Alligator mississippiensis: one gene and its partners. The protein of the gene in region 2 interacts with the protein of the main gene of each other region in a biochemical or structural test. Links are inferred from orthologs where the notes say so. Each region holds a gene or a part of one and is shown on either strand. Other genes may lie near its edges. The genes, in order: NIN, AURKA and INCENP.

What was found.
Region 1: of the proteins of AURKA (region 2) and NIN, one has a biochemical effect on the other in vitro, tested with the Homo sapiens proteins (2 studies listed by BioGRID). The link is inferred for Alligator mississippiensis from reciprocal best matches to the Homo sapiens genes AURKA and NIN.
Region 3: the proteins of AURKA (region 2) and INCENP form a complex in vitro, tested with the Homo sapiens proteins (3 studies listed by BioGRID and IntAct, with this or other methods). The link is inferred for Alligator mississippiensis from reciprocal best matches to the Homo sapiens genes AURKA and INCENP.

The regions. Positions count from the first base shown.
Region 1 is NC_081825.1:298,548,305-298,555,777, reverse strand, and holds the start of NIN (ninein), read left to right. Parts: upstream 1-4,427; 5' UTR 4,428-4,500; intron 4,501-4,511; exon of another isoform or gene 4,512-5,058; intron 5,059-7,473. UniProt on the Homo sapiens protein: Centrosomal protein required in the positioning and anchorage of the microtubule minus-end in epithelial cells. May also act as a centrosome maturation factor.
Region 2 is NC_081832.1:9,930,534-9,938,443, forward strand, and holds the start of AURKA (aurora kinase A), read left to right. Parts: upstream 1-4,814; 5' UTR 4,815-4,860; exon of another isoform or gene 4,861-4,905; intron 4,906-5,205; 5' UTR 5,206-5,210; coding exon 5,211-5,264; intron 5,265-5,638; coding exon 5,639-5,921; intron 5,922-6,398; coding exon 6,399-6,453; intron 6,454-6,748; coding exon 6,749-6,940; intron 6,941-7,910. Other genes in the region: CSTF1 (cleavage stimulation factor subunit 1), read right to left, coding at 1,868-2,063, 2,781-2,957, 3,866-3,985. UniProt on the Homo sapiens protein: Mitotic serine/threonine kinase that contributes to the regulation of cell cycle progression.
Region 3 is NC_081825.1:179,235,650-179,242,799, reverse strand, and holds the start of INCENP (inner centromere protein), read right to left. Parts: upstream 3,036-7,150; 5' UTR 2,944-3,035; coding exon 2,816-2,943; intron 1,194-2,815; coding exon 1,077-1,193; intron 1-1,076. Other genes in the region: inner centromere protein, read left to right, coding at 3,415-3,475, 4,010-4,154, 4,747-4,860. UniProt on the Homo sapiens protein: Component of the chromosomal passenger complex (CPC), a complex that acts as a key regulator of mitosis.

The DNA of each region.
Region 1 (7,473 bases), on a different chromosome or scaffold from region 2:
TGAAGACGCTACAGGGCAAGGGCTATGGGACTTGACGATAGCAAAATACAAGCACTGAGCAGAGGACCTGCCCCACCTTTGCCCTGCCCTCCAGCCAGCTCCTGCAGCCAGGTAACAGGCAACTGCTGCAGGTGGGATCCTAAGGGTCTGATGATCTGGGAGTCCCAGCAGTTCTCCTGGGCAGCTTCATCACTAGTTGCTGCTGGGCTCGGAGATCTAGTGCAAAGCCAGCATGGATGGGAGCACTTTGCACAGGACACGGAGCATCCATGGAGTGTGGGTCCGTGGCAAGCTACCCCAGCCCAAGTACCAGCCCAGGAGCTGGCATCCAGTGGATGACAGGAGAGGATGGAACTGGCTAACAGGGGTCCCAGGCAGGGGTCCAAGCTCTGGGGCAATGCTAGGAGAGCATTACCAGCTCAGGGACCTGCATATACCGGGCAGCCAAGTATTCCTAAGGAACAAGGGTGTACCCAGGGAGGCGAACCCTTTGATCCCTGCTTCACCCAAAGTTTAAAACCAACTGGCTGGCAGCAGCGGCAGCAGCATTGCTATTGAGGCAGCAGCGAGGGACTCAACTGACTTTGTAGCTCATTGTAAGCTACCGATTCTTTCTAAACACTTCATCCCATAGGTACTAACGGCCCCCTCCCCTTTTTAGTGATTGTGATATTCCTCTACTCAAGCTAGCCTGTGTTCAACCATTCTGCTGCCTGTTAGCTGCTCCTGGTAAGGAAGCTCCTATTTAACAGCCTTGCAAACTGTTTTTAATTCTAGCTGAAAATAATAACTCAGGTATGTACATAACTATCAATGAAGCATTGGATGCACTACCAAGGTGCTCAGGAAGGCTGGATTTTATTTTCTGAACGTGAAAAAGAGCTGTACATTTCATTCTAATGACAATAGTGCTAATGAAGCGTCTTTTGATTTTATTTTTTATTTTTTTGGCCTGGTTTGTTGTGGTTTTTTTATCCATAACAGCAAATTCAAGCACATTCTAATTACATTATCTTTTTCTTTTTTTTTTTGCTTGAGTTTTAAATGAAACAATGTAGCCTGCAGCCCCCAGCACATTAGGAAAGCATCTCCTTTCTTTTTAACTGGGGAATAGATACGTTGTGTTATATGGGGTGATGCACCACACCACCAGCACCCCACCCCCCTTTTCAAAAGCCTACATCCGCCCATGGGAAGGAGGATACAGCTGTTGGACTCAATGTATGGCGGTCCCTTCCAGCCATACTTCTCTATGAAAAGGGACTGGACAAATTCTTGGAGGAAAGGGGCATCCGTAGCTATTCAGCATGGGAGTAAGGGACACAGCCTCTGAACCAGAACTTCCTTGACCCCAAGTGGGAATGAGAAATGGCTAGATCTGCTGAAGAGGCCCGGTCCTGTATTCCTGGCTCACTGCAAAGGGCAGAGAGGGATAAGCTAGAAACTGCATCCGTCCCCCATTAGCTGGGGTGGAATTGCTCACCCCTATGGGATTAGGTGCTGATTTAGTATTATTTGATGTAGCACAGGGCACGGGGAGCAGCTGAGACCAGCTAGGTGGGCATTAATCCCAGGCAAGATGACAGCAAAAGTGCTAGAGGATTCAGCAGTATAAGAGTGTGGTCGACACAGAGAACTGGCCTTACCAGACAAACCCAGTTTCTTTTTGCAGAGAGATTGGCTGGACGGTAGCCACAGAGGCCCAGGGCACTTGGACCTTTGTGAGATGTTTGCCCCTGCAGGACACAACACAGACTCCTGATTAAAACAGCGGTGCTGTCCTGCATCCCCAAAATGCACGGTCAAGGCATGAAGGACTGGCTGTCGACCGGGCTTGAGAAGATGTCAACAGGGAATCATTGAGTGGAGATCGTTACTCAACCGGAGGCAGTCCGGCCTGCCTGTGGGCAATCTGGAAGCAAAGGCGCAAGCACTGCGGATGGACTTTAGCCAGATTCAGTAAGGATCAGACATATTCTTGGAGGAAAGGGGCATCAGTCACTATTGAGCACAGGGGCAAGGAGCACAGCCTCTGAATCAGAGCTTCCTCGGCCTTCAGTGCTGGAGGCTGCAAAGGAGGGAGGAAAAGAGGGAAAAACTTCTGCTCATACCCAGTTCACTCTCCCTTTCAGCCTCTGCTCTCTGCCCTGGTGTGACACAGGAGCCTGGGCACGGTGGGCCTAGGTCTGACCCAATTAAAGGCAACTCTAGGCTCTTGATTTCTATGATTTGTATCAGCCTTGCTGGGCTCTACAAAGTGAATCAAGCTATCACTAGCAAAGCAGGGCACTGGTTTCCAAAGCATGATCCTTCAGAGGAGCCAGGGACCATCTGGGTGCCGGGGACCCCAGCGCAGGGCTAATCCCAACACCCCGGCCCCAACTACTTGGGGTCTCTAAGTACTGGGAAGAAGTTTCTCAGCAGCTAAAAGGGCCTTCCAGGGCCTGCAGCATGAAAGCAGCCAGGAGGCTGAGAGAAAATCCCAGAGCATTTGGTTGTAGCCAGAAAGCAGAAGGGCAGAGCACACCCCGGCCCCCAGCACTGCTCAAAGGAGCCCAGTCCCAACTCGGACTTGGATGCATTTTTTTTTTAAGAAAATTTTTCATGACCTGAGTCAAATCAATTCCAAATCCATGAGTGATTGAAGAACCATATGTGGCCTGCTGCCAGCAAACATCCTCCACTCCACCTGGGGCTTCAGATATTTCCAAATCCTTTGGCGAGTATCCTATGTGCAGGCCCAAGCCCAGAGGTTGGGGTTCGGATGCCCCTGAGTTTCGCTTGCCCTCAGCTGTATGGCCGCAGGAGCAAGCTAGGGAGGAGTCTCCCATTTCCAACAAGTCAGTGTATAAAGGACTGGCGCCTCCCAACTCTGGGGAGGGGGGCACAATTTGTCAGTGGTGGCAGTGGGGTGGCGATCCACGACTGCCCGCAGATGCCAGTGTTGGGGGAAGCGAGGTGTGGTGGCGAGCACCGAGCAGCAATCGGTGACCACCCACAGACGCCGCCGGGGGCAGCCTCGGCATCAGCCGACCTCAGGGGGTGCACATGCACCTGCATGCACCCTCTACACGGTGCCAAGGAGTTAGCATATTGCTGCTGAGTGCTTCCCACTGGAAGTGACAGTTTGTTTGGGGTTTTTTTTTAAAGAAATGTTTTGTGTGCCAAGCCAAATCCGTGAGTCAGTCCAGAACCATAAGTGGCCCTACAACCGGCAAACATCCTCCACCCCCACCAGGGCCTTCAGATATTTCCAACGTCTTTTGGTGGGCACCCTGCATGCAGCCCCAAGCCCAGAGAAGCAAGCTCAGGAGGAGCCTCCCATTTCCATAAAGCGGGCTTTAAGCCCCAACACCTCGGCGGGTACAAAACCACGCCAAAAGAGCAGTTATCCCCAGGAACGCTTAAGCAAAACGGCTTCCTCGGACCCAGATTCATGGTGTTTCCCCCGCGGGAGGCTACTTATGCATTCCCTGGGGCAAGGTACTACCCCTGCCAAGAAAGGGCCAGTCTGAAAACCCCCTTCCCGGTCGTGGGGTTGCCCCGGCCGGGTGGGTGCGTGGCGGGGTCTCCACTTGCTCGGGCTGGGTGGGATTTTCAGCCCGGTGTCCAGGGTCCGCAAGCCGGGGAGACCTGGCTGCGGGGGAGCGGGACGGGGTCGCTCGGAGCGGGGCGGTGCACGATGCACGGTGCACGGCGCTGCGGGCGGGGAGGGGGCGCTCGGAGCGGGGCGGTGCACGATGCACGGTGCACGGCGCTGCGGGCGGGGAGGGGCGCTCGGAGCGGGGCGGTGCACGATGCACGGTGCACGGCGCTGCGGGCGGGGAGGGGGCGCTCGGAGCGGGGCGGTGCACGATGCACGGTGCACGGCGCTGCGGGCGGGGAGGGGGCGCTCGGAGCGGGGCGGTGCACGATGCACGGTGCACGGCGCTGCGGGCGGGGAGGGGGCGCTCGGAGCGGGGCGGTGCACGGTGCACGGCGCTGCCGGCGGGGAGGGGTCGCTCGGAGCGGGGCGGTGCACGATGCACGGTGCACGGCGCTGCGGGCGGGGAGGGGGCGCTCGGAGCGGGGCGGTGCACGGTGCACGGCGTTGCGGGCGGGGAGGGGTCGCTCGGAGCGGGGCGGTGCACGATGCACGGTGCACGGCGCTGCCGGCGGGGAGGGGGCGCTCGGAGCGGGGCGGTGCACGATGCACGGTGCACGGCGCTGCCGGCGGGGAGGGGGCGCTCGGAGCGGGGCGGTGCTCGGCGCTGCGGGCAGGGAGGGGAGGGGGATCGCTCGGAGCAGGGCGGTGCGAGGTGCTCGGCGCTGCGGACGGGCGGGCTGGGAAGCCGGGGGCGGAGCGGCTGAGCCGGCGGAGCCAATGCCCGGGCCCCGCTGAGGTTTTAAAAGGCGGCGCCCGGCGCGTAGCGGCTCGGGCGGGCGGGGAGTGCGTGCAGGGCGGGCCCGGCTGCGCTCCTCCTTCGCGGGCTGCGGGCTGGAGCTGCCGTCGGGGCGGAGGTGAGTGCTGCGCCCCCGCTCCCAGCGCGCCCCACGCCGGGTCCGCGGAGGCTGTTGCCGGCCCGCCCGGGCGCTCCCGCAGCCGCTCAGCCCTGCCCCTGCCCCTGCCCCGGAGGCTCCGGGAGCTGCACAAAAGCGCCGCCCGGCCGCCGGCTCGCCCGCCCCGGGCGCTGCAAGGCTGGGACCCGGCCCCGCCGCCCCTGGCTTTGTGGCCCGGGCCCTCCGCGGCTCGCTGGCGGTGGCTTCCCCCAAACCCAAGCAGATGGGCCCATTGTTTCGCTCGGCCCCCCTTCCCGGAGGCTGCTGATGGCAAGAGCCTATTAGGATGCAAATGCCGGGCTGCCGGGAGTAGCCCTCCCGCAAGCCGCCCGCGCGTGTCCAGTCCAGTCCAGTCCAGCGCTCTGCGCGCGCCTTGGCCCCGAGCCCCGAGGAGGGACAGACCCGAGGCCTGTCTTGCCCAGTCTCCAGTGTGGCACCGGGGCAGGGAGCGTGCGCCGGGTCGTGGAGTTGCCTTTCGAGGACACCTTTTGTGATCGCGTTGGGAGGTGTCCAGTTCAGGTGAGGGCTTGGGTTGGGATGGGATGGGATGGTGTGGACGGGGGGGGGGATGCTGCTTCAGGCAGGGTGTTGCACTAGGTGGTCTCTGGAGGTCCCTTCCCACCTGACTTCTCTGTGAACCACAGGCCAGGTTGAATCCTCCGATGGAGGGCCACAAGGAGAGGTACAGCACTGGACTGCACTAATGATTGGGGCACTTCATGGGGGGGTGGAAACGCTGGTTTTGGTGGTGTGGGGTGGGGTACGTTGGAAGGCGATTTCCTGACTCCTGGGTGCTGCTTGCTTCGTTGTCTTGCTCTTTTTTTTTTTTTTGGCTGCTCTGCCCGCTGCTGCTTTTTTGTATTGTCTGATGCTTTGGAGGGGACCCGCTGCTGAAGCTGGCGTGATGTCATTCTGTGTATTGCTCCGAAATGAAAAGCTGGGTTGGTAGCACATAGGCTGGGAGTAAGCAGTGAATTATGCTGATGGGGTGATGCAGAGATAGGCGAGAAGAGTTCATTAATGGAAGGAGATAATGACTTGAGGTAAGACAACCCGGGCACAGCGCTTTCGGCAAGAGCTCAAATACCCGCCGCTTCAGCGGATGATTTGTGTATCTTGTCAAGTCAGCCTAAAACTAGAAAATAAAAGCGCGCGGGGTTGGTCGGCCAGGTGATGCACACATTATTCCTGTAGCGAAATCCGTGCGCGGAGATAAGGTTTCATGTGTCACACTGGCTCTTTGCTCTTCACAGAGGGAAGACCCTTACCAAAATGACCACTTGTCCTCTGACAATAATGCGCTTGTTTTGATGGTGGTTTATGAGTCAACTTTCTAACGGGAACCTGTGATTGTCTAATTGCCGATCATTCGGCTTGAGAAAGCATTGAAGAACAATGGCAAATGCGTACATTCGCCTTCATTGGTGGCTTTTTGAAAGAGGGTCGACTCCTTGAGGACAGGTGTTTTGCTTTTTTTAATTAAATGTATACAAAATATTAAGGTGCGTAGTGGCACCTGAGAGAGAGGGTCTCAGACCTCAGCTGGATGTGATTTAAATATGGCCCAGCAAAGGGAAAATTCAAGTGAGCGGTGTTTCTTTGGAAAGAGTGCCAAGCGCACTGCTTGGTTTTCCTCTTCTAGTAACATTGCTCCAGTAATTACAGGCTTGCCAGGGCAGCGTTCATTTGTGCTGTGCTAATTGTAGTATTCGGACTTGATGGTGCTGGCCAGGTCGTCTACCCCTCCATTAGTTGTACGCTCAGGCTTGAAGTTTAATCTAGATTCAAAATGTTTAAAGCTGAAGCTGGATCCCAAGTCCTCTCTTTTGAACCTATATCATTAGGGTTAAATTTAGCTGGGAAGCGCTATCAAGTCTCTGCAACATCCGTTATGGAGGTTACCTGAGGCTCTCGAGAGCGTAGCTTTAACCTGGGGGGTCTGGACTTTGGAAACGAGGCTGAATTACTTGCCTCAGTTGAGATCCCTTTTGTTCTCCATGCAGCTGATGCGTCTCCTAACCACAGCCTTTACTGTAAGGAAAAGCTACAAGCCTCCGAGCCCACGTTGGGCATCATTTCAAGCATCTTCCTCGACTTGTCTTCTAAGAAGCTCCCCCGAAACTTCCTTGATGCTTCCTGAAATGTGTTACAATATGTGCTTGTTGGGACTTCTGCTTTTCTTAGTCCTTGGTGACTCCATCGGAGTTTTTAGCCCTGAAAAGCAACTGCCCTCCTTGTCTTAAAGCAGAATATTTGCCTCCTTTTCCTGCCTGTTCAGGCAGGGGTGCGAGGATTTGCATTATGTTACTACAGGTGATGGGCTGAGGAGCAAAGAGACTTGCCATCCAACTGCCCCCTCCTGCTTTTGGTGCTCAGCTGGGAGATTGCCTCTCCCAGCTCGAGACTGGTCCCTGGCCTTGCTGACTCTTTATCAGTTGTGTCTGAGCACGGCTCATGCGGCCGCTATTATTATGCACGAGGACGGGAAGCAATGAAACAATCCAGACATTCCATCTTGTAGCTCAGCTGCTGGACCATCTGGAGGGGAGATGAAAGGCCTGGGTTTCACTCTGGCTTTGTATTTTTGTTTTGTTCCCCCCTGCAAGGCCCTCTCCGCCCTGCCAATCTTCCCTCCCTCCCGTTGCCCCCCCATCCCCACCCCGGGCGAGCACCACTCTCGGCTCTGACCCGAAGAGTCAGCTTCCGCCCTTGAAATTGCTGGCGTTCGGTGTCGTGCTAGCGCAGCGCTCCGATGTGCGTGACCTCATTATTGTGACTGCTCGGTGATGACTTGCACGCTCCTTTTCGGCCTCGCTGCCGCGGGGTGGCTGTGAGCTCATCAGGTAGGAGCCTTTTAAGCCCTGCTGAATAATTCAGAGGGGCCAGGAGGCAGCTGTGCATTGCGTGCAGGAGACGGGATTATGGCATCTGGGT
Region 2 (7,910 bases):
TATGGTTTAGTGGTCAAGATACCAGACTGAGACTCAGACTTGGATTGTTATTTCTGGTTCTGCTACTGATTTGGTTTGAAATCTGGATACATCAGTTACTCTCTCTTTCCTAGTTTTTTTTCACCTCTGACTTTTTTGCTTAGCTTATTAAAATGGTAAAGTCTTTCGATCAAAGCTATTTTTAAAATATGGTCACTGCCTTGTTGAGACTTCTAGATCCTACTACAGCACAATCTCTATAAAAAAAAATTCTGTTATGCTGCATACTCCAATGCAGATATTGCTTAATGTCTGCTGCCAAACATGAAGTTTATGCTGTACAGTCACACTGTGTATTGTCCAGTCAAACAGGCTGTACTATAGCAGATTTGAATGCTGACCTGATAAGCAACATTAGGGTATGCAATGCCCCTATTCCAGCAGACGCTAAGTGACTTAGGACCTACCTGCCCTTCCTCAAGACATACTTCCTGTGACATATAGCACAAGGTATACAAGATGAAGTTCAATCCGTTAACTAGGGATGCACCGATAGAGACTTTTTGGGCAGATACCAATAGCTAAAATTAAGGAGGCGTATCAGCTGATATCAATCCAATTTCTGATACAGCTGGTAAGTCCATTGTGGTAGAGGGGAGGAAAAGGGCGGGGGAATATCAACACCCCACCATGGTGAGAGGGGGGGCAAGGCCAAGTGCTGCCCAGCCAGGGCAGAGCATGGGACGCTACCCTCCTCTGTAGCCACCCCCGAGCCCAGCTCACATGGAGAAGAGCCTGCAGCTACAGCTCACCTGCCCTGCACAGATCCGGGGGCACATGCCTTCCTGGGGTGCAAGCAGTGGCAGGAACAATCCCCTCCTCCCCCCCACCACGAGGAGCTGTGGCTTTGGCCCGTGCCCCATCTGCCCCCTCCCTCACCATGTTGGGGACGGACGGATGGACACACACATGGGGACATTGATCTGCCCCCCCAAAGCCCCTTCTACCACATCAGACTTACCAGCTGCGAGCAGCTCTGCTCCTCACTGCCTGAGTGCTGCGTTGCGGCTATGCACATACATGAGCACTTATTGGCCAAATTATTGGCCACATTGAGCCGATTTCCAATACAGCCAGTTTTCTTTATATCAGTTCTAATCCGATATCGGACTGATGTAACGGCGCAGTTAATCATTTTGCAGTAAATTAACCAATGTGGAACTCCATGCTGCTATGGCTAAGCTGCTTTTAGGATGTGAATAGTTCAGCTGTTTTGATGCTATGCTGTAGTCTAGGTGCAGGTATGTCATTAGAGAGGGAGTGGCAGGGCTGCCTCTTTTGTGGCCTTGGACCTTTGGATCCCACTGTCTTCCAAAATCCTTAAAGCAGTTTACATTTCCAGCCTTCAAAACACAACAGGACACATGGTTTGTCCACTCTCTGCAAGGAGATGTGGGCTGAGTACAGCTTATGTTGTTCATATGGAACTGGTTATGTCAGTTTCTATGACCTTTATTACCACATGCTTTGCTTTGATCTGGTACATTCAATGAACCCATGTATTATGATCCTGAAGGCTTTCAAAACATTCAGGGTACTGGATAAGCATTCTTGTATGTGGCAAAAGACCAAACTGCTTTTGAAAGCCCTGCATTTAATATTTCCTATCCACAGCAGAACCAGAGAAACGTAGGGATAGAAGGACACTGGAAAATCATCCAATCTAAACCCTAAATCAAAGCAGGATCAATGCCATCCATGACACTAACAACAGAGCATCATTAAGAGTGATTTTTGCATGAGAGACTGAGACCACTGTGTACCTGCACTGTAAGCAAAGTTGAATTTCAAAATTCCTCATTTATTGACATTAAAATTTACAGCTTACCTAGTTTAATTAAGTGCAGCAGCTGCTCAGAGGGTGCACAGACTGACTGTGGTTTTATCTCATTTATCAGGCCATTGGCAATGTTTATGTATCCATCATACAGCAGCTGACTAATAATCAGTTTATACAATTGCTGACGATCTTTCAAGCTCACTTTTGTTCTATACATTGCGAGCAAGGACTGCCTTGCAGGGGCCTGAAACAAAGATAAAAAAAAAAAAATCACAAAATAAAATTGGACTGAACTGGCGTTGCCTTTCATAGAAAAGTGAACCGCATGTCATTTTCCAAAGTTCCTTAATGGAGATAAAGTCAATTAAAAAGGTATTGCATGGGGGGGTGGGATTTTCAGCTTGCGATCAAAAGTAGAGGGCAAAAAAGGTATTATATATACTGGGGGGAAGAGGGAGACATGTTCAGCTTGCAATCAAAAGTAGAGGGCAAAAAAGGTCTTATATGTACTGGGGGGAGGGGGGGGGAAGAGTTGCTCAGTTTGCAACCCGAAGTGGAGGCCAAAAACCAAGGTGCCAGAAGAGATGACAAAGTCGTTCCCGACGGCAGTGACAGCGGAGGAGCGCGCTGGCCACCAGCATGCGTGGGGCTGCGATGCGAGGCTGACAAAGGCCAAGGGCCAGGAGAGCGGCAGCGGCGCCGTCTGCAGCCGCGGTGCCGGCAGGACCCCGCTCCGCGGACGAGACGGGCGCGGGGCCAGGAGCGGAGGGAGAAGCCGGCCGGGGCGCCGTGGCCCGCGCGGGCGGGAAGGGGGCGTGGGGGACTCGCGGCACAGGAGGGCGGGGAAAGAAAACCCGCCCGCCAGGGCGGCAGCGGCCGCACCCAGCGGCTCCCGGGGCAGCGCGGCCGAGCCGGGCCGGGGAGGGACAAGACACGCGCAGCCCCGCCCGCCGGTACCTACCGACCCTTCCTTCGGCCTCCCTCGCTCTCCGCCTAAAATGGCGCCCGGAGCCCTGAGCACATCGATGGGAGGCGCCGGCGGCGGGGGAGGCGGCGGCGGCAGCAGCAGCCGAGAGCGCAGGAGGCTCCGCCGCGAAGGCAGCTGCATCGAGCGCCCGCACATCGATGGGAGCCGGCCCTGGAGGGAGGCAGGGAGGGAAGGGAAGGGACAGCCGCGTCAACGCGCATGCGCGCACCCCGCCGCGCCCGGCAGCCACGTGACCCGTCCATGGGCTCCCCCAGCACGTCCAACACGCGGGCCCGATCCTGGGGGGTGGGGGCAGCATGGGCAGAGGGGTCTCGTGATCCCTGCGGGTGAAGGGAGTCTGGTGGAGATGAATGAAGGGCAGCAGAGGCTGCTGTGGCTCCTGGGCAGGCAGCAAGTGGGGGACTGGGCAGCCCAGGCCTGAGGGTAGTGGGTTCAGATCCCAGCTGTGGGCAGGTGGGGTCTCAGGGAGCAGCCTGGGTGCAATGGTGGCCTTAAGGGTGTTGGGGCCGCAGGCCAGCGGGTCGTCTGGGGCCCCTTGGAGGCTTAAATGTGGATGACCTGTAAGCACAGACATTGGTTGCAAACTTCTAGGCGTCCCCTAAAGTGCAGTCACCCCATTTGCCCTCCCCTAGGGCCGTCACTGCCAGGTGCTCCTGTACGGGGTCTGTCCCGCCACGCGTCCGTGCAAACCACTGGCGTAGCACGGGTCTCCAGCACCCAGGAACCAATGCTTACATTTGCACCTGCCTGTCCACAGGCAATCGCCAAGTGGGAGGAGGCGGCCGATCGCCGAGGCCAGAAACAACGGTGGCGAAACAGGAAGTGCCGCCAGGGGACCGAATACCCCCCGGAGGGCCCAGCCGGCGCCTGGGGGTATGCCCCCTTGGTGCTAGGCCACTGCCGCAGCCGGACACCGCGGGCAAGCGCGGGCTCCCGCCGATTTTCGTGGCAGCGCCGGTTGGTTCCCCACTTCAACCGGGCAGCAAAGTCTCAGGCGCGGCAGGCTCCTCCTGGGCACCCCCCCCCGCCCGCCCGCCCCAAGGGACAGCCGTACTCACGTCAGCCTCGAGGAAGGGCAGGCGCAGGGCCCGCGGGTCGATGGGGGGGGAGCCCATGTTCCCCAGGCCCCGTGGCAGCGGGCGTCTGTCGCAGGCTGGGACGAGGCGGCGGCCCGACATCCTGGCGCTCGCTGCCGGCACCGGGATCGCCTCCCCGCGCTCTGTCGGGCGACGGCGCTGTCAGCCGCCACCTACCTCTGCGGCTGCTCTCGCTCCGCCGGGCCGGCTCGGCTGGGCTCACCGTCGGGCGATGGCGGCCGGTGGGACCCGGAGCCACTCGCGGGTGCCCGCAGGCGGGAGGCGTCGAGCGGGCGACGCTGCGGCTGGGCCTCCGGACGTCCTCGTGGTGCTCGTATGTATCACGGCTGCGCCCGAGCGCTCAACGCCGGCCTGCGGCACAGCTGCCCCGTGCGGCCTGTGCAGCCCGGGCCCGGTGCCCTCCTGCCTCCCCTGAGGGGGCAGCGCAGCCCCCCCCACCCCCCGCTGCCAGGAGCCGGGGGCTGCCGCCTCCCAGCCAGGGGGCAGGACTGACCTGAGGCACTTCCTGCCCCGCTAACTGCCCGCCCCGCGGCCTCACGGGGCGGCGGGCGGCGGGGATGGCACTTCCATCGCTGCCACGGGTGGGTGGTCTGGGCTTACGCGACTTGCGTAAGGAGAGACCAACCGAGGCCGAGAACTGGCGGAAAAACCGACGTAACTGTCTCGCCGATCTACGCAGTTGGCGCGCGCCGGGGGTGGGGGGGAAAAGCGGCCGAGGGGCGGCACGTCACCTACGCACGTTGCGTCGGCACCGCCCTAGGGGCTGGAAGCGGCTCACGCTACCGCGCAGGCGCTCTGGAGACCCGCGGCCTGAGAGCGACGGGAGGGGGCGGGAGCAGTCGTGAGCCAATGGGCGGGCGGGGAGGGTGGAGCAGGAGCCAATCAGAGCGCCAGCGTGGTGGGAAGCGGGCCAATAGGGAGCAGCGGCGGTTTTAAAGGCTGTTACGGGGAGGGAGGTTTGAATTCAAACAGCGCTCGCGGTGGGGTGTGGGGCGGTGGTGGTGAGGGCCGATGGGGGTATTGGGAGGGCTCCTGGGATCCCCGCGTGTGGGGGGCAGATGGTCCTGGAGAGAGGAGGAGGGCAGGGAAATATGGTCCTGGAGTGGGGGGTGGAGGGGCAGATGGGCCTGGAGAGAGTGGGGGGGCAGGGGTCCTGGAGTGGTGGGGAGGGGAGGGGCTGATGGGCCTGGAGAGAGGGGGCAGATGGGTCTGGAGGGGGGAGGGGCAGATGGACCTGCTGGAGAGGTTGATCTGAGCCTCCAGGCCAGGCTGGCTTGTATTTGAACTCTCTCTTTTTTCAGGCAGCATGGACAGAACCCGGAAAGAGAACCGCCCCGGCCTGCCCACACATGGTGTCAAGGTAAAAGGCCTTGTTCTTTGCTCCACCAGTTCATCCTGGTCCTTGTTTGCGATAACCCCTTCTGGTCATCTCGACAGAAGGCCCCCCTGCCTTCTCCAAGTGTTCGCCCTGCCTGTGTATGAGGCCGGGCAGCATAATGTACGTAATGCGTAGCAGAGGTGTTAATAGCTCTGTTATGGAGGCCTATGTTGTTCTTAAAACAGTCTGAGAATGTGGTACTGTCCCCACTTCAGATCGATTTAAATTTTTACTTTCCATTGGTAGGCTAATGGGGAGAAATGCAGCTAAATTAGGTTGTGCGAGGGTGGAAAATGAACTTCATGAGTTACAGTACAATAATTAGTGCTTCTGCCTTGTCTTGTGTGTCTGTTTAGATTCCAGCCCACGTTGGGGATGGCCCAAAACGAGTCCCCGTCTCTCAGCTTCCTCAGAGTCGAGTCCCTGGAGGCGCAGCCCAAGCACAACGTGTCTTGTGTCCTTCAAACTTGGCTCAGCGAGTTCCTGTACCATCACAAGCTCCAAAGACTGCAGCGTCTAATCAGAAACTGTCTCATAATCAGCGGATGCAGCAGCCTCAGCCGACATGTGTAGTTCAAACATCTTCTAGGCCTCAAGCTCCAAATAATAATGAAAAGCCTCATCATGTCCCAGTATCTGGTAAATAGATTCATTTACACATCTATCTCATCTTGACATGACACCCAGGAGACTTTCAAAGATTGATCATTAAACTGGTTGACTGCAGCAAATTAACAGACCTGACCCTTATTTTCTATAGATCAGGTTTGTGTAACTTATCTTACATCCTGACTTTCTTCCATATAAGAGGATCACATTCACATAGGAAGATGGTTGAAATGTTGGGTAGTATGAACCTACACAGAATTATTTCTGGATTAATAACATTGGCCAACTAGCAGGGTGCTACCTGCTTGTCCCCATAACAGAATAGTGACTAAAATTTAACAGCCACAGATGGTAAGGTACCTTGCTGATAGATATAATATTATAATAATAGAAGTATCATTCTACCCAAAACTTGGAATCTAGAAAAAGCATGGTAAAAGCTGACAGTTGTAGCAGTTGTGTTTTGTGGGTTTGATTAATTAAGGTGTTGAAACTTTTTGTATGCAGCAAACCAGCCTGAAAAAGAAGGTACTTCTAAACCGAAAAATCAAGAGACTAAAAAGTAAGTTGCATTCCTAGTATTTTTGTGTGTTAACTGGGAACCTAGACCCAGAAGTCTAAAATGCTTGTCAGTGATAACTGGGTTAGAATTTCACTCTTAGCATTTAAGGATAAATAGTGTAGAAAAAGTATTCTGCAGTTTAAATATATTGGATTTTGAGGCCAGATCTTGATCTTGGTTAAATTGATACAAATCTTAACCCAGAATAACTCCATGGACATTTATACAAAAAAAAAGAGTTCCAGGCCTTTTGTATTCTAGCAGTTTAACTATATTTTTTTTTTTCCTCTCTTAGGAGGCAGTGGTCTCTTGATGACTTTGAAATCGGCCGCCCTCTGGGAAAAGGGAAGTTTGGAAATGTATATCTGGCTCGTGAAAAACAAAGCAAATTTATTCTGGCACTGAAGGTGCTGTTTAAATCTCAGCTGGAGGAAGCTGGAGTAGAGCATCAGCTGAGGAGGGAAGTAGAAATACAGTCTCATCTTAGGTAAAAAACAAACAAACCAACAAACCCCCTCCCCCCCAACTTATTAGAATTGTAGTTAAAGATATGTTGTTTCAAGCAAGATAAGCAGCTGAACTTATTGCCTCCTGAATTCTATCACCTTAACACAAAGTTTGAACTCGTCTACATGTAACAGGAGTCTTTATGCTTTTATACTCTGCCATGGCAATCCCTTAAAATTGCATCTATTTTTAAGTTACAGTGGACTTTACACAAAACATGTTTAAGGAAGTAATTTGAAAGAACTACGGTTTGGGGGGAAGTCTTTATATCCTGTTGTATAAAGGATACAACAGAGAGGATGCAACTCCAACTTTCTCTTAAACTAACCTTACTGGATTCTGGCTTCTGACTTGCTAGGCAAAGTGACAGTGTGAGATAATGGCTGGCATAATGCAGTGAATTATTTTGTACTTGAAAATGCTTCAATTCTATACATGCTGAGGAAGAACAGACTTTGTCATTGGCAGTGTTTCCAAATGGCATCTCTCCTATTGAATAAACCTGGATATAAGGGAGAACACCAATTTAAAAAATGAAAAGTATCTTTAGCAATAACATCCTAAGACCCTCTACAACCCCCAGCATGCATGCCAGAGTATGGCATGCGAGGCCATTTTGCTTGGTACATCACAGCTGGCCCCAGGCTCTGGGCAGCTGCCATGGGCCACTTGAAGCAGACAGCTGGGAAGCTGCAAGCCATGTTGCAAGCACCCTGGGCTCCACGGCTGGTAGCAGCTGCCTGAAACCCAAGCTGGCTGTGGCAGGCAGCTGGGGGGTGAGGCTTTAGATGGCTCCATAAGGCTCCAGAGCTCTTGGCTGCTTGTGTGCCTCTGGGCAGATGGCAGGAGAGAGGCTGGGGTTGTGCTGCCCTATACCCCTCCCCCACCATCTGCCCAGAGGCATGCATGCAGCTGCTGTCGGCAGAGGACCGGCTCCCCTGTGGTCCGTC
Region 3 (7,150 bases), on a different chromosome or scaffold from region 2:
GTGGACTTCTAGTACCGTTACAGTTTCAGCACACTATAAGCCTGCATCCAAAATGGTTCCTTTACAGTACAATGGTGTATAGAGAGAGCAGCTTTTAAAGGTGAGTCTTTAGCATTTACTAGGCTGATACGCAGCACTAGGATTGATAAGGTCACCTGACAGAGGCAGAAACATGGGAAAGGTCCTACACTTTCAGGAGTGGGGGACTCTATTCTTCAATTCCATAGCTGGAAAGGGCACACTTTTGCCAAAGATCTGTCTCTCCTGCCTAAACCAGTGATTCTCAACCAAGGTGCCATGAGATTCTTGCAAGGGTGTGACAATGCCTGGCCCCCATGCCAGGAGGTAAGTGATCACTCCTCCTTTTTCCCTGAAACAGGCACTGCAGCATTCCACAGACAAGCAGTTTCCACAGCTGCTTCTGTGCTATCCTGTGCTCCCAGCAGTTTGTTGTAGTGCACGCGCAAGTGAATGGGAAGCCGTGGAGCTGCAGGGCTGCACTTTTTGGTCTGGTCTGTTCCCCAGCATCCCCCACTCCTCTCATACTCCCAAAGCAGGTGGGAGAGGCTATGGGTGCATGTGGCTCTGGCTGTTTGTATTCAAGCTCCTGGAGAAGCAGCACTTGCCCTCTCAGATACAGAGCAGGCACTGGGAGGGGGCAAATGATGGAAAAAACAGGGCACAGAGGGTAAGGGGCTGCCTCCTCACACTCACCTGGCATGAGCTAGAATCTAACTCAGTGGTTTGCAGCCAGGGTGCCTTGAGGCTAAAAAGCTTGAGAACCACTAGCCTACACACACATGGAGAGAGACAAAGAGATTCTAAAAGAGCAGCAGTAGCTGCTTAATTCCTTCACCTGTCACCTAAAATAACATTTCTTCTATGCAGCATGTGCTTAAACAGCAAAATGTATAGATCATATTAAAGCCATCCTCCCTCTTAGAGGGATTTCTTCACAAATTTTCTACTTAAGGCCTGAAAAGCAACAACTTTTTAAATGCAAAAACTGGGATAAGATCCCAATCAAAAATAGTTTTAACATCTTCAAATATAAGGTACTCCAGGGACTTTCCTACCTCTTCCTGGTTGGATCTTCATTCTCATCCTGAACAAGAGAAATACGCTTCTTCCTGCGACGATTTTTCTGTGATGGAGTTTTTGGCATCAACTCTGGCTCATCATTACAGTCACTGCTTAACAGATGAAACAGGAAAAGTAGTAACATTACCTGGGCACTTTACTTGCTTGTTATGCCAGCCTGTCTCTGAAAGGCAGCTCTCCAACTAATGAGAAGATAAACGCAATGTCATGGGAGACCACAAGGCTCACTTCTGCTAGGGCTGCAGAGATGGTAAGGAAACTGAGGTGCCAGTAGTCCCACACAAAGCATGTGCATGATGGTCTTATTAAGTTGGGACCTTAAATTTCAGAGGATAAACAAAAACCTCCTGTACTACATCAGGACTAGTCAGAATACAGTTCTCAAGTCACCAAGAAGCTTTAAACTTCTCACCTAGAGAGCTTTAGAGAAAATGTCTTTTTTTCCTGCAAGCACCGAGTCCTGCGGTTATGAATAATAAATATACATGCTAGCTATGTCTATCAGTTGTGGTAAAATAACGATAGGTTTTCTCTTTTGAAATGAAGGGCTTTTGACATCCTTGAGCTGTGTGCACCCTGTGCTTAAAGCCAGCTGTTCACCTGGCACCAGAAAGCATGACTGGATCAGAGGGTCAAATCTCAGCCTGACTGACCTACCCTTGGCATATCTGTTATCAACCCCTGCCCCTCGCTTCCACCTGTTATTGCAAGTTGCCCCAGGAACTGTGATGAAAGCCCCAACTAGCAACAGGCCAGGGGATAATACCTTGCTCTTTGCCTTTGAGGCATTAATGGCTGACTTACTCCGTGCTCAGTAGACACATGTATGATTAGTACTGTTATTATAGGAAATACCTGCACTTTCCCAGTGACTTCCTCCCAGGGATGTCACTGTACTTGGCAAGCATTTGCAAATGTATCCTCAGACCACTGAAAAAGTGAACAGTAATGCGCTGGGGTGGGGGTTGCTGCACTTTGTATTCTTTTGTTGCTTCAAGATATTGCTCCTGAGCCTTTTTTCCAGGACCACAAGCGAGTGAGCAAGCCAGGTGTGGCAGGGTCAAGCTCTTCAGGGCAGATCCTGCCTTGAGCAACCCTGGCTAATGCACAAGAGGATCAGAGGCGCAGCCCCACACGGAAACAGTTAGCACCCCCTTGTTGCTGGGGGAGTCCTTGGGGCAGCTGAAGCCTTAGCAGGGACAGAAGAACAGGGCAGGCGTGATAACAACAAGCACTGGGCTGGGGAAGGGGGCACAGCAGAGGGCACGGGCCCTTCAACTTGCTGATGCAGCCGAGGGGCCCCACCAAGCCCCACAACCTCCTGCTCACCCCTCCTAGGCAGAAAGGAGGGGCCGGAAAGACCCTGGGGCACTGCCGCCTTCCTGCCCTTGCCCAATTCCCGTATCTGTGGCCCAGCTGGAACCATCCCTTCACGTACCCTACCCAGGACCCCTCACGCGTGTCCCGAGAAACCAGCTCTTCCGTCCTCAGCAGCCTCCCGCTGCCCTAGGGGGCTCGGCCCACGCTCCCCCTGCAGAAAGGAGGCAGAGGACCCCGAGGGCCGGAAAGGTAGCGACCGCAGCCGCCCCAACCAGGGCCTCCCGCCGGCCAGGGCTGGAGAAGACCCAGGTAGGGGTTGGACATGCGTGGCCGCCCCCCTCGCTGCCCCCACGGCCGAGCCAGACGACGGCTGGGAGGAGGGGCCGCCCCGCACCTGCCGAACATGCGGGCCGCCTCATCGCGGATCTCGGCCAGCCACACCAGGTCCGTCTCGTCCACCTCGCGCAGGAACTCGGCCAACCGCCGACTGCAGGTCTGCACGAGGTGCGCCGTGCCCGCCATGGCCGCGCCGCCTGCAATGGCCCGAGCCACCAACGGTCAGAACACACCCGCCGCGGCCTCGAACGCGGCCCCCCCACTTCCAGCCCCGCCGGCGCCCGCCTAAATTTTTTGAATCGAGCTCATCCCCCCGCCGCGCTCATTGGGCCACCACGCGCTTACGCCACAAAGGAAAGGGGCGGGGAGAGAGGAAAAGGAAGGAAAAAAGCAGTGCCGAGCTACACAACAGGCCCTGCTAGCCAGCGGACTCTTGTACCCTGGAGGACTGAGTCTGGGAGGAGCTTCCGCAGGGCAGGTAGGAGGAGAAGGAGGAGGGACCAAACCAAGGCCAGGAGAGAGCTGATAGGCGGGGCAGCTAGACAGAGCCGCGCCGCCTCCGTAGCCTGTAGCTAAACGGGCCGCGGTTGATGGACAAGAGCGCTAGCCAAGGGCGGGCCGCTCCTTTACAGCGCTCCCTGATTGGCGCAAGGTCGGATGACCTCGGGGAGGGAAGCCAGCCATTGGCTCTTGCTTTTTGCGCTGGGCATCGCTGTGGGTATGGCAGGCGGTTCCGGTTAGGAGGGTGCCTGTCTAGCTGACGCCTCTATGGTCGTCACGGGCACTTCACCAAGGGTGGGGCGTGGGAGGGAGCTTCTGTGTGGCGGGGGCGAGGCCTGGCTGCCTCTGCGTGTTCTCTGGCCGGGGGCGTCTCTCACCTGCGGCGGGGGTGGGACAGGACGCCTGGGTCCTCTGGCTGCCCTGTCTCCCTGCAGGGCTGGGGAAGCCCAGGGAGGAGGGGCTCCTGGGTTCCAGCACCCCTGGGTGTGGGAAGGAGCTGGCAGCGGGGCTCCTGCTGCTGGAGCAGAGCGATGGGTGCTGATGGGGGAGCTAGACTGGTTGGGTCTGATGCCTGCTCCTTCCCTATGGGACGCCTTCCCTGTGCCTTTCATCCCCTCTCTAGCTTGGGGATAGCCTTCTGTCTCCCAAAGGGATGGTGGGGGCGTAGCTGTCTGCCCCAGGGTTCGATGGTACCCTACGAAAGGCGCCTTGCCTAGCGATCGGCTCTTTCCTCCTCGCCCGCCCGTTGTAGGCAGAGCCATGGTGGAGATGGTGGGTCCCACCAACCTGCTGGACTTCTGCAGCCAGAAGCTGTCGGAGTTCCTGGGCAATGCCGAGCACAAGCATTTGGCGTGGCTGCGGGAAATCGAGGAGGAGGCGGTGAAGATGTTTGATAGGTTGGTCCACCTGACTGGCAGGAGAGGGCGACTCATCTCCGTGATCTATCTGAAGCCTTCCCCGTTCTGGCAGCTGGCAAGCTGCGATTCCAAAGACTGGAGTTTCCCATAAAAATTGCTCATTTCTTGAGTTAGTTTGGGGTCTCAGATTCTAGATCTGAAGTGCCTGGCAATGCTGCCTTAGTTGGTACCATAGCATTTCCTTTACCTCCTTAGTGGCTCTTGTTGTCTGTATTTTGGGCAGCTTGCTTCAGTCTAGCGTGGGCCAGAATGTCTCTGCGTTGCTGCTGTCTTGGCACAGGTCCTACTTTATCGTGCCATAAGCTCTCCATACAGGGCCAGATTAACCCTTTAGTGGGCCCTAGGCAAACAAACTCGTGGGCCCCCAGCTGAGATGAAATTTTTATGTTACTTTTTTTAACTCCATAAGTATAATACGTAAAATAAGCACAACTGGGCCCTTTCTTCACTTAAGACCCTAGGCATGTGCCTAGGTTGCCACTGTGTTAATTTTGGCTCATACGAGGCAAATAGAATGATTGTCAGGCAGCAGATGAAACGTTCTGTTTTCTGCCTTTTATTTGTGCAACAGCAACTTCAGTGCTGAGCCTGGACTGATGCCCAAAACACCATCACAGAAGAAACGGAGAAGGAAGAAAAGCTCTTTTTCTTTGAGGGAGGAGAACAAAGAATTGTCCAGAAAAAGGTAAGTGGTTCCCCTGTCAATTTAGATATGCCATATGACAAATAACTTTAAAAAACCAAACAAAGGAGGGGGGAAAAGTTAATTGCCAGGTAGAAAAAAAATAAAGCCCAAATCAACGAATACAATATACATACATTCAAATTTCAAATCATTAGTCTGCTTAGTGCAGGCAGGGGTGGGCAAAATGCAGCTCGCAGGCTGGATGTGGCCCACCAGGCCCTTCTATCCGGCCCGCGGGGTCCCTGAAAAATTTAGAAAATTAATATTTGCCCCTAGCTGCCTGTCATGTGACCCTCGCTGGCTTGCCAAAACTCAGTAAGCAGGCCTCCACCCAAAATAATTGCCTGCCCCTGGCTTAGTGGGACGTGGCCAGGCCAAAATTGGTTCAAAATCTGTTTTGTAAAAGTTCGTTTTTGACAAAATGTAAAGCTAGTAACTCTTTCCATAGCTATTTAAAGTTTTGTTTGTTTTTGTTTTGTTTTTAAATTATCAACATTTACAAACAAAACCTCTAGTGCATGAAAACCTGGAAGTGATTATTAATAGCTTCTATAAGTTAAAATGAAGCTGATTTTCTTACTCTTTGTCTTAACTGAGAGATGCATAAACCCTTCATAGAACACAAACAGCAAAATTTGAAACTGGATTTTTAATTTAAATGCTTTTTCGGCTTGTTTTTTTATAAATGTTCAATAGACTCGAACTGAATTTAAGGAAAGCATCTTATGTGTGCTATTCTTAGCATGCAGAATAGCTTTTCCCCATACTTATCTTATTAAGAACTAACATTTCTTTTTCTCTCCTAATTATTGTTAAACAAAGGATACACTGTTACCATATTTCATCATGTACAAGTTGAATTTTAAAGCCCAGTTTTGGCCTTTGAAAATGCAACCTTGATTTATACACTGTACCACCTTCCCTTGCAAGTGGCATGGCCCAGGCAGTGCCTCTTGCAGGGGTTGGGGCTGCACCAGCCAAGCGTTAAACCCAGTTGCAGGGAACAGGGGTAGGGCTGGGCTTGGGGCTCAGCTGGCACGGTCGCATCCCCTATGAGCGGCGCTGCCTGGGCCACACCAGCACTGCTCGCAGGGGATAGGACCACACCAGCTGAGCGCTAAGCCCAGCCTCACTTGCAGGGGATGAGGCTCTGCCAGCTGAGCCCAGACCCCTCCATTGCAAGTGGCGCTGCTGAGCCCAGCCCATCCCATCCCCTGTGAGTGGCATCAGGCTCGGTGCTCAGCAGCGCTGCTCACAGCAGATGGGGCCAGGCTTGGTGCTCAGCTGGTGCAGCCCCATCCCCTGTGAGCCTGCACTGCTTGTAGGGGATGGGGCTGCGCCAGCTGAGCACTGAGCCCCAACGTCACACGCAGGGGATGGGACAGGGCTGGGCTCAGTGCTCAGCAGCACTGCTTGCGGTGGATGGAGCCAGCTCTCAGTGCTCAGCTGGCATGACCCAGGCAGTGCTGCTCACAGTGGATGGAGCCGTGCCAGCTGAGCACCGAGCTCGGCCTCGACTTGCACACCATGCCTATGAAAATCCTAACTTTTCTAACTTTTAAAACTGAAGCTAACCCAGGGGCGAGCAATTATGTAGGGTGGAGGGTTACTTACTGAGTTTTGGCAAGCTATTGAGGGCTGCATAACAGGCAACCAGGGGCAGATAGAAAATCAATATTTTAAATTATTTTAGGGGCTCTGCAGGCCGGGTAGAATGGCTTGGCGGGCCGCATGTGTCTTGTGGGCCTCATTTTGCCAACCCCTGAGTTAACCTATACACAGTGTTGACCTATACTACATGAAATACGGTAACTTAAAACATTAATTGTCAAATTTCTTATGGTGTGCTGCCAGGTGCACAAATTGTCTTTTTATTGCTACGCTTGTATAATTTATCAGTATCTGCTATTGATTGCTGTGGTCTATCATGCAGAGCAGCCTGGATGAAGACACTTCAAAACTGGGAAGTAAAACAACAAAGTTAGGGATGCTTGGGGAAATGAGGGTGACAATCATAGTATAGTATCTGAAACCTATTTGTCAGATCCTCTCTTTTCACTTCCTTTTTTACATTTTTAACTTTTTCCATGCTGCCTAGCCTTCATATTCCCACCTTCATATTCCCTAGATATAAAATCCTGTCAGGTTAATTTATTGTTATCGTCCAAATCTGTCCTTAAACTAAACTATTTTTGCTACAGTATCTAGTAAAGCAAAATCAGCAATGAATAGGCCATAGGTTGTAGGCTCGGAATACCAATCACAATGACTTGAGTTGTCTCATTTGTTA